Linked DNA regions of Sus scrofa. Each later gene encodes a partner of the first gene's protein in a complex. Links are inferred from orthologs where the notes say so. Each region holds a gene or a part of one and is shown on either strand. Other genes may lie near its edges.

Region 1 (3,651 bases):
TGATTGACATTTTACATGTTGGAGATTATTGTATCAGAGACCCTAACTCAGAGCTACTCAAAGGTCTGCAGACAGGGGTGGGGGACTCGGCATCATTCATCACTAAAAAAGCATGGCATTAAACAGGAGTAGTTTTCACTTCAAGTTTCCTTTTACCAAATTCCTAGTCTCTTCAGATAAGCATAACTTTAGAGTGGCCCTGCTGCTGGACCAAAGAGACTAATTTGAATCATTCCTACTGGCATGTTATTGTAAAAAGACTGAAGACTATTTTGTAAATTCGGTAGCTACATGTACCTAAAAGTCTATGTAACATATTATTTTGCTATTATGGATTTAAACTTACTAAAAATGCAACTGAGATGACTTTAACATGGAGAAACAAGGATGTGGATGGAGACACTCTCAGAATGAATTATCTTTCGAGACTGTAAATGCAAAATCATACTGAGTATAACCAATAAGTATTTATGGAACTAAACTGATGAAATGTATCTTTGGCACCACGTGTTTCATTAAACAAGACTGTTTCCTATGAATCTAAAATGTGACAGCATGCTTTGCTTGTATTCAAATATAACCAACCTGCAGCCCTTGACCATGGACCATTTGAAGTTGTTCCTGAATTTTTCTTAATTCTTCTTGTTGCCGATGAATATTTGCCTCTATCATCCGTGTCCGTTGCTCCAACTGGTCTTTCAGATGCTGCATGGCTCCTAACTGAGCTGAGAACTGAAACTGAAGTATTGTGAATGGAAAGTGTAAAATCTCTGAGAAGCACTTCTCCCAGTTGTACACGGTGAAGCTAAGCAGTGTATCGTGAGATAAGAATGTTTTGCCACTTATTCATGTACTGCCTCTCAGCTCCTAAGTCACCTCTTGGCTCGGCTTTGGGACACTGGATTGGACCCTGTAAGTACAAGCAGTCCCATCAGCAGAAGATGCTGAGGGATGCCGCAAATGAGGTGCTCGTCTTTCTGGTCCTGCTGCTCTCCTTCCAGCTCTTACACCACGGGGCGCGCCCTACAGAGAATCAGCTGCGCTCCAGCCTCACTAGCATCGTAGTGGGTGGCTTCTCGGCAGGTGGTCCCACTCTCCAGCCCTGGTCCATGCACCTCAGTCAGAGTGTCTATCATCCAGTGGCTCCAGCCACAGCGGCCCCAGTAGGGCCTGATCCTCAGCCTGGCCTGGCCTGACCTGGAGGAGCAGCAGTTTAGGGGGGGCCTCCCAAGCTGCTCCTCCTTGGCTGCTCTCTACACCCAGCATCCCTACGGTCTTCAAAACTCAGAATAAAAATCTGACAGATAACCAAGCATAATATTTTTATCCTTCTTTTCACCTGAAACTGTTCTCAGACAAGTATGAAACCTAGGCTTTTTAAGACTAAGCAATTATAAATGAATGAATGCATCTGTGAATGAAAAGCACAGTTATTCTATTTCCAGAGTAAGAAAAGGTTTTCAATCTTACTAATTTGTTTCACCTGCATTCTAGGTAGCTCATTTACTACTGCTTGAAATCTAGCTACACTTGGTGACTCACCATTTCTTAAGTCTCTCTCTCTCTCTCTATATATATATATATACACACGTATGTGTAAGTTCATTTACTTATTTCCAGGAATATTCAGTACAGGATACAGTGTAAGAGCAGAAAGAATTTCACTTTATTAGAAATCTGTCTAAATCTTGAAACTGTCTCCTACAATGCATCCAAAAGTGACAAATGCCCCTCAAAAGCTTTTTTATTACTTATCTTCAAAAGTTTGCACTGAGAATAGTGAATATTACTTTTCAAAGAATATAACTCAGGGAGTTCCCCTTGTGGCGCAGCGGAAACAAATCCGACTAGCATCCATGAGAATGCAGGTTCGATCCGTGGCCTCACTCAGTGGGTTAAGGATCTGGTGTTGCTATAGCTGTGGTGTAGGCCGGCAGCTGCAGCTCCAATTCAACCCCGGCCTAGGAACTTCCATATGTCATGGGTGCAGCCCTAAAAAGAAAACACAAAAACAAAGAATACAACTCTGACTTATGAAGATGACAGTAATCAGATCATATGTTAGAGTATACTGGGTGTGAGAAAATATTACAAATTATATTTATGCTATACTAATATAGTTTATCCTAACTAAAGTTATTTATATCTTTAGGTAAACATTCCACTGTCACCATTGAAAGGATTTCTACTAAGTGCAAATAAGAAAATAAAAATAAACACAGAATACAGAATGTTAAGAAAATCATAGAGCTAAGAAGCAAAGTGCTTGGCTTGTCATTGAAAGAAATATGAAACTTGAAACTTAACATTTTGACACAACAGATACTGTTTATTTCATGAATATATATGTTAAGAAATTCTTATTCAATATCTGTTTAGAAATTCTTATTCAGTATCTTGAGATTAATGAACTAATAATACTGAAAATATATCAAATATTTACATTAAAATCTGTTACATTTCAGAATAGAAAGCATTTGAGGACTCAATAAATAGCTGATAAAAACTACTGCAACTCCAATAACACTGTCTTCTTATAAATACCTCATACAATCATATGTTGTTAGAAGTTGAGATTATGACATTTAGGTAATTTATAACATTGTCGATATACTTGTATAAGTGTCATAATATATACTAGCTATAATTATACATGTATAATTTAAATAATCATATAAGAAAAAGGTATTTTTAGAAAAATATTGTTTTTACCTATTGTTAACTATCACTATTTGAAACGAAGATACTGTTAAAGTTAATTTAAGATTATTTTTAGTACAACTTATTAGTATTTTTAACATGTCTAAGGTTCTGAATGAGTGAAGAATCATAAATTAAAAGTCACAACGTTATAATCAAACATGTGGCTTCTGTAATACCTCCCCTCTGTCATGCTAGTTTTTGTATTGAGGCCTCCTGTGGGACTCAGTTCCAGCAACAATTCCTCCAGAAAGTCCTCTTTCACTTCTTTAGGCCACATGAAGTATCCATCTAACATGCTCTTATCTCAGTCTTTTATCTTGAACTGACTGTGTAACACTGTATTCTAGTTGTCATTTTACCTCTAGATAATAATAAAGTCTCTTAGTAGAGATAAATTTGTACCGCCAGCACCTGTGATATCTGCTAATACAAGGAACTCAATAAATGTCCTGGATATGAACAAATGAAAAAGTACATAAATAAAATTACTCACTTCTTCCAACACCCACAGGAAGAACCAAATGAACAGCTGTATTTCACCTTTAACAGCTTACCGTCTACAGTGTTTCTCAGCAGGGATTAAGCAAGACAATTCTGTGTTGTGCACAGCTGTCATGCACCCTCAAAGACAGCATTCCTGGCCCTTGCCTACGAAAGGGCCAGTGATACCCTAACCTCACTCAGAAATATCCCCAGGTAGTCTAAATGCCCACAGGTGAGATTTACTGCATCTGTATTTTTAAAAATCTCTAGTAGCTTAAAAACAATTTGAAATTTTAAAATACTTAACTGAAACAAACAAAAATACCTGAGAGATGCCTTGTGGAACTGATACATTTGCAGCTTGAGACATCACTGGCTGTGTTAATGATTGACCAACAGACTGGGAATTTAGGGACTAGAAGCAAAATAAAAAATGATTGGGGTGACAATCACTCCCGCACACGA
Region 2 (3,651 bases), on another chromosome or scaffold:
AATTGCAACATACCCTGAGAATAAGGTGTTTCAATTCATCATCTGACAGAAAGGTCGGTTTGTAGTTTGCTTCTGTGTATGGATTGGTGGCACCTTACAAGGGAAAAAAGAGAAAGAGTCGGCACGCTGTACAGGCAGATAATGTCTCATTCCACTGCCTCAGGCCCTCCAGATGCAGCCTGGTCCTTACCACCTGGGATCTGAATGTGATCTTCTTTTTCCTTAACGGAGACAGGGCTAGATCTGGCTTTGGACACCATCCTCTAATGCCAAAGAGAATTCCACTGAAAAGCAAATATCATTCCCCCACAGGAGACTTAAGAAGCTTGCTTTTGTTGCTATGTCGAAAATCAGGAGCTGACAGAAGTTAAAAGCCTGCTCTGAAGAGAGAAGGCAGCTCTAGGAGCAAACTGGTAGAGGCTCCCGTGTGGTTCCCTCCTCCCCAGATCTATATTAAATGGGTTGTCTAGCGGGTGCTCAAATCACCACTCTAAATGTTCTTGGGAAATCATCCAGTCTGCCAGGCCCTGAGTAAATACGCTGTAGAAGCATTTACTGTGAGTTCCTCTTCATCGGGGTTGTGTTAAATGAGCTTGGCAACCCGGAGAAAAGCATTCCTTCAGTAAATGCAACTTGAGCTCCCAAGACTGAAAGGGCGCAAGACTTATGTTTAAAAGGCTGTCAATCTGGCGTCCTTTAGGAGAATGGTAACTTAGAAAAGAAAGATGCCAGCGTTCAGTGACTTGGCATCTGTAAAGAGTTAGTGGAACCATGAAGAAATGAAATGATCCATAACAATTCCAAGTACCACTGGGAAGGAGGGAAACAGACTGTGGCTGTGACTTTCCTATCAACTAACAAGGCGCATAGTACTGATCCCCAGCCCTGCTTTTTAGGATAACTTGAGATCTGCCCCTCTTTTCCTTTTAATGTAATAGACATTAGTTACAGTGATTTCATCTCTATCATCTTCATGAATATGAATTTTAAAATGCCCTTCTCCAAGCACAGGATATAACATTTATAGTTCAGAATGATGACCAAAAGTCAGATAAAACCAGCTACTTCTCATTTCTGGTGGCTCTGCAGAAGTATAAAGATGTAATTCTCGTACCACGCAGGTCTGAGATCTGAGTTGAGCGCCCACTTTCCAATTTCCTCAAACAGTCCAAGACTAGCTGTGGAAAATTCCAGGAACAGCATTCACATAAAATGCCTGATACGGTTCAGATTTCTCCTGTGGTTTGGGTAAGCCACTTCCACATTTCTGTCTCTGTTTTTTTTTTTTTTTTTTTTTTTTACCCTCCCCGCACTCAGAAAAGAAGGAAAACACTGCCTCCCTCATAAAGACTTGATCTGGTTTGGGAAAATTCCAGGAAGACGAAAATATCACCCGTGTTCATTCCTGACAATAAAATGCAGCAAGAGCCATCAACCAGTGACTCACTCTTCAAAAGAAACCAAGATGAATTTTTCCTTTAAAAACTGAAACTGACTTTTCTCTGTCACTACATGCACCTACATTTCTGATGTTTATCACTGTGAGGGGCTGGGGTCCAGGCACCACATACATGCAAGGTAGGACTTTAGAGCATCCCCTGGGTTATGTATGTTGCCCAGTTATGTGCACAGACAGGCACACAGGACACAGTCCCACCCTCTGGGGATGCAGGAGGGCAAAGCTGTATCTTGATATTCACGCAAGCTCAATAATCGCCTCATCTGGCATCACGCCTCTCACTGAAAATGACAGGCATATCACTCCAGGCTAGAAACACTTGCCTTAGAGACTCGGAAAAATTCTAGGTAGGGAGGGTAACATCTGTGAGCAGAAGCAGAAAGGACAAGAAAGCTCGGAATCTCACCTCGTAACGTTTTCATGTGCTGAACGGCCATCCTTAGCACAGTAAGTTTATCTAATTTCCTGGACATCGCGTTGCACGTTGGTACCAAAGAAGCCAGTTCGTCGATGAAACTGTTCATCTTATCCCGACGCCTCTTTTCAATCTGACTGTGAGCTTCCCTGAACAACAATATGAAAAATGATTTCTGTAAAATGTAACAGAGCATCAAGGAAATGATGATGAAATAAGTTACAACTGTTTTCAATATTCATCTGATAAGGCGAAATTAGAATTGCAGAGTGCTTCAAACTAGACTTTTCTACTAAAGTTACCAAAAAGCGTGGCCCCACTGTCAGGTCACTGTTAGTTTTTTGGGGTTTCTGTGTTTTTTTAATGCTGACCTCATCCTTAGAACTGAGAAATATTACAAAAAAGGTCTTTTCAGAGAAAACCAAATTGCTCATTCCTCATTTCTTTTCCTCTCGGCCTCTATAAAGTTGGATTTTAAGATGGGGTTGAAGGAAGGTGGAGGTTTCAAGGAGCAAAGCATCCAGAACAGACATCCGTGAGGGCCTCATGCGGAGCGGTCCCTGGGGTTTGTGGGGAGTCAGCTGTGTGGCCTGTCGGAGACTTACTGAGGAGTCACGTAACTAATGCTGTCGTCTTGGATCAGCCATGACCCCACCTAGATGCAGCAGATGCTACCTCTGTCCCCAGGAGCTGCCGCTGAAGAATGTCACATGCCTCCCTCCCAGGAGCTGCTGCCCACTGAAGCAGGATGACAATGCCACTGGCCCATACTCTCTCCCCGACTGGTCTGCACCTGCTACTTGTGACTGTCCCCCTAAAGAGGAGTGTCAACAGTGCAAACACAGTTTGTTGCCTCTGCCATAGCAAGAGGACCACGGGATCTCTTGCCAAAGCTGGTCCGTGAGGGAAAAGCCACAAATGTCAGGACCGTCGAATTCTGCAGCCCCTGGTTCTTTGTCAGGATACACGCTCAGATGGCCCTGGGGCTAATGGCAGGAAGGCTGAGGACCCACATGGAAAGGAGTCAGCAAGTGTGGATGGAGGCAGGAAGGACCAAGTAAGAGAATCTACTTGAGGGAGCAGCCCCCACCCCACCCCAGGGTCTGACCTTCAGCAGCGCCTGGCAGAGCCATCAGAGCCCTTTCAGAGGCAAGGCAGAGCCCGGTAACTGACTCCCTGAGCTGGGTCTCCCCCAAGAGTTAGGAAGGAGGAACATACTAAGGATGGGGAAAATTTTTAGCCCTTATTTATCTTCCACTACCTCCAAAGTCCCTTTCGGGTTAAATGTGCTTAGACAGCAAAGAGTGATGCGAAGGGCAGAAGGTCATATCAAGCCCAGGCCCCCATCCCGTTCTTCATTCCCTAAGGACATGACAATTGTGTCGAACGATGTTAGGTAGACAGGAACCAGACAGACATAGCCTCTTAGACTGCACTCTAAGAAACCAAAGCAGGCGTTCCCATCATGGCGCAGTGGTTAATGAACCTGACCAGTAACCATGAGGTTGCGTGTTCAATCCCTGGCCTTGCTCAGTGGGTTAAGGATCCGGCATTGCCGTGAGCTGTGGTGCAGATCACAGACATGGCTCGGATCTGGTGTGGCTGTGGCTGCGGCCAGCGGCTACAGCTCAGATTAGACCCCTAGCCTGGGAACCTCCATATGCTGCCCCCCCTCACTCCGCCAAAAAATTCCAAAGCAAGACAGTTCATAGACAGAGGGAGGGTCCAAGCTTACCTGGCATTTTTGATCCTTCCTTGGTGCTCTGTGTACTCTAAC
Region 3 (3,651 bases), on another chromosome or scaffold:
GAGAGGCAATGCTAGTGTGGACAGTACGATTTCCCGCATAAGTTCAAATGTGCTAGGAGTTCCCATTGAGGCTCAGGGGAAACAAATCTGACTAGCATCCATGAGGACGCAGGTTCGATCCCTGGCCTCACTCAGTGGGTTAAGGATCTGGCATTGCCGTGAGCTGTGGTGTAGGTTGCAGATGCAGCTCAGATCTGGCATTGCTTTAGCTGTGGTGTAGGCCAGCGGCTATAGCTCCAATTCGACCCCTAGCCTGGGAACCTCCATATGCCATGGGTGCGGCTCTAAAAAGACAAAAAAATAAAAAAAAATTTTTAAAAAGGTTCACATGTGCTGATCTCGACACTATAAATGTGACTTTACATCAAAGTCTATCTTCATTTAGTTACATCTGGAACCTGTTTTTAAAGCAATGACGCCCAACAACCACAACGCTCTCCAAGGCACGAAATGCCGCCATGTATGGGTGCTGACTACAGGCCGACGCTGTGTGGCACTTCACATGGGTTGTCTCATTTAATCTCCATAATGACCCCATGAGGTGGTTGTCATTTCCCTCCACAAACAGGAAACTGAGGTTTAGAAGGTTGAACTAACTTGCTTTCAGTCCCCAAGCTACTTTATGTAAGGAAGCTAGGATTCCATCCTCTGACGCTAAAACCCAGCCTGACTATTCCACTACACCGCTTTTGTTGTACTCCTCCATTATAATTTTAATGTTTAATTAACGATTCACACAGAAATCTAATAAAGAAGGGCATGGCTATCTGTCTCGAAAATTTCAAAGCCAATCCAATTCCAACCTGGGCCCAAAGACCTGAGTGCAGATGAGGCTGGGCAGAGAGAGCCTGACAGAGGTTCTTACCTTTGGAGAAGTCACGTGATTTGTCTGAGGAAAGCGAAGGACGATGCTCCCTCACAGGCACACTCATTTGCATACATTTCAGCTTCTTGGATACCTGGCTAGGATCTTTAAGCCAAGATCTACTATAGTTCATCTCCTGTGCAAAGGCTGGGATGACCTGAAGAGTGCATCCTGGAGCCCTCTTGGTGTTCAAACACACCCTGCGATGTACACAGGCAAGCAGTGCCAGGCCCGGCAACCGCACTCCCCCGTCAGAGGACACAGAGAGTCAGAGGTCAGTCCAGGAACGTCAGCCTGGTTCAGCTCAGTCAGAAGCTAAACTTCAGACTGTCCCTAGTCACTCGTGCCTTAAGAGGTGACCTACCAGGCAAATGGATCCAGAAAAGACCTAATTCATTGCTTTTCCAAAATGATTTCACTGGATTGCTCCTCTAAGGCTGCGGCTATGCCTACTCAAGACACTCAGCTTATTTATTCTCATTTTTAGCTTTTACAGTGTATCATTCTTGTTGAGATCACCTGAGGGAATACCAGACAAGACTTTAGACTTGAATAGGATCTCAGAATCATTTCACCTAAGATCTCATGCTAAAGATGAGGAAACTGAAGTCCACAGTGATTAAGTAATTGTGTGTAAGATCACATAGTGTGGTGGTAGAACTGGAATTACACCCTCAAAAGAAAAATACCTAAAACCAAGGCAGCAATAATTAAGACATGACACAAAAGTATTTAATTCTTTTAAATTTGGAATGTGCTGGAGTCTAGCCCATGTGAAAAATAACTAAGCTCCTAGATGGCTCCCTTAGGTCAGTCTGCTCCCATGTGTCCTGTCCCCTGATCAAGCCCAGTGGCCTCCCCAGTGGCTCTCTCTCCTAAAGATGACGCCTTCACTGGGGCCGCCTACACCCTCTGCATGTGGGCTGTTCCCAGGCCTCTGCAGCTGCCAGCCTTGCCCATGACAAACAAAGACGCCCAAGAAAAAGTGGCCAGGGGCCAGAGAGGAAGGCAGGGAGGAAAGAGCAGGAGACGGAAGCCCTGAGAAGCACCACGGCCCTGGTGGGGCCTGGACAATCTCATTTGGGTTCCATTTCATGTTTTTATTCTCTAGCCTCAGCGCAGTGAGGGGAGCTGTGCTTCCAGCTGAGAGGTGATTTGCCAAGCAAATACCTTTAAATTCTTCTTCCAAACTCACCAGGCTGCCTTGTCAAAAATCAGTTTGTGTTCCTCAGCAAAAAACTAAGTAATAGTTAAGACGTTAAGGTTTCTTGTCAGGCTGCAGCCATGTTCTTCTGAGGCAGGCAGGTCAACCACATAAAGCCAGATTTCAAACTTACTAGCTTCGAGCAGCCTCGAGCAAAGGGGGGTTAAGGTTACATGCTCTTTAACCAAGTTCATATATATGATTGAGATCTCTGTTTCAAACACTGGGGCTTAGCTTAGATCTTCACCTAAATCTTTTCTTTCATATCTAGGCAATAATCACATAATTTGCATAGTTATGGTGCTTTTTCTTCTTCTCTCTCTTTTTTGCAGCACTCAAGGCATGTGGAAGTTCTTGGGCCAGGGATCAAACCTGTGCCACAGCAGTGACCTGAGCCACTGTGGTGACAATGCTGAATCCTTAAGCTGCTGTGCCACATGGCAACTCCAATTTGCATAGTGATGTAATCAAGCCTGAAACAGGGTATGTTCCAACTCCACAGCAATGCCACGTGGGCTCTGCTGGTAGAGCCATACCTAAACCAAAGAGCCGCTTTCTCACTAATGACATAGCTTTGGCTGATTACTAGAAAATGCTCAGAATGCAACATGAGAAATTGTTCTACTGCTTCTATAGAGTAGAAATTGCTTCTATTTCCCAAATATTTCTAAATTCCCAGGGCAATTCAAATTAAAAGGAGATCCTCTTGTTCCTGCCCTAAATTCTGCCACATATTAGAATGCACAACAGAGGTTAGACATTTCTGCCTGGTTCCTTTAAATATGACTAAAGAATTCCAGATCACTTTGGACACACTGGGGATGTGGAAATACAATAGTCTTTCGGTCTGGAAAATGAGAACACGTGTCACGACTCTCATAATCCAAGGGCACGTCCTCCTCCCAGGACAGAAACGCAGTGGGTGCGGTCCTGGTGCCCTGCTTCTCACCTCTCTCCCTGGCAGAGGGAGAGGCTCTGGACACAGGCAGCTCAGAGACTCTAGTCTGAAGAAGTCAGGAGAGATGAGCCCTCCTCACCTGTTTGACCAGCACGTTCTTCATGACAACCATGGGGGACAGCGTCGGGAAGGCAGCGCTCACAGGCTTGGAGCTCGGCCTCGGCCGGTCCTCTGGGCTCCAGCCTAAGGCGCCCAGCACGTCCTCGGACTCCATCTGCTCTGCCGAGCTCAGGCATTCTGAGCTCCCATCTGGTGGCAGAAGAAGAGTCAGGTCACTTGGGCTCTTAACCAGTCCTGGGGAGTCATGGACCCCCTTTCAATGGACCAGAACACTTGCGATATATGTTGTCGTGAATTTTTCTGAGAAGGTCTTTAGCTTTCATTGGATTCTCAATGGATCCATAATTATCCTCCCACCCCCGAAAGGTTCCGAACCACCACCTTAGGACAGTAGACTTCCTTTCTAACTCCCCTCCAGACCCGGGTTCCTGTGAAAGTTACCATCCCGTCTGCAGCAAGGATGGGTGAAGGCTTCAAAACTAGCACAGCACCTTCAAGAATGTGTTGCTGAAAGGGGAGAGGAGTGTGTGTGTGTGACCTGGGGCAGGAGTAAGACCTTTAGAG

The links.
Region 2: the proteins of CLOCK (region 1) and ARNTL are in contact, whole or in part, in a crystal structure (PDB 4F3L), measured with the Mus musculus proteins. The link is inferred for Sus scrofa from reciprocal best matches to the Homo sapiens genes CLOCK and BMAL1. Residues at the interface, in NP_001276755.1 of Mus musculus: Arg46, Gln49, Phe50, Leu53, Ile54, Glu56, Leu57, Met60, Leu61, Pro62, Lys70, Ser71, Leu74, Gln75, Ser77, Ile78, Phe80, Leu81, Arg82, His84, Lys85, Thr88, Glu95, Ile96, Gln98, Asp99, Trp100, Pro102, Phe104, Leu105; in XP_030097882.1 of Mus musculus: Lys70, Met71, Phe74, Ile75, Glu77, Leu78, Ser80, Leu81, Val82, Asp93, Leu95, Leu98, Arg99, Ala101, Val102, His104, Met105, Lys106, Leu108, Arg109, Gly110, Ala118, Tyr120, Lys121, Pro122, Phe124, Leu125, Asp127, Asp128, Glu129.
Region 3: the proteins of CLOCK (region 1) and CIPC are in contact, whole or in part, in a crystal structure (PDB 5VJI), measured with the Mus musculus proteins. The link is inferred for Sus scrofa from reciprocal best matches to the Homo sapiens genes CLOCK and CIPC. Residues at the interface, in NP_001276755.1 of Mus musculus: Gln519, Leu526, Lys527, Leu530, Arg533, Ile537, Asn540, Ile541, Arg543, Gln544, Glu547, Leu548, Ile551, Gln554, Leu555, Val558; in XP_006515773.1 of Mus musculus: Asn401, Thr402, Val405, Leu406, Ser409, Leu411, Ile414, Thr415, Thr418, Leu421, Ile422, Asn425, Thr428, Gln429, Leu432, Leu435, Lys436, Thr439, Gln440, Phe442, Ile443, Thr446.

Annotation. Positions count from the first base shown.
Region 1 is NC_010450.4:54,805,629-54,809,279, forward strand, and holds part of CLOCK (circadian locomoter output cycles protein kaput), read right to left. Parts: intron 3,602-3,651; coding exon 3,512-3,601; intron 739-3,511; coding exon 586-738; intron 1-585. UniProt on the Homo sapiens protein: Transcriptional activator which forms a core component of the circadian clock.
Region 2 is NC_010444.4:45,934,489-45,938,139, forward strand, and holds part of ARNTL (aryl hydrocarbon receptor nuclear translocator-like protein 1), read right to left. Parts: coding exon 3,610-3,651; intron 2,024-3,609; coding exon 1,866-2,023; intron 94-1,865; coding exon 14-93; intron 1-13. UniProt on the Homo sapiens protein: Transcriptional activator which forms a core component of the circadian clock.
Region 3 is NC_010449.5:100,190,377-100,194,027, reverse strand, and holds part of CIPC (CLOCK-interacting pacemaker), read right to left. Parts: intron 3,277-3,651; coding exon 3,107-3,276; intron 1-3,106.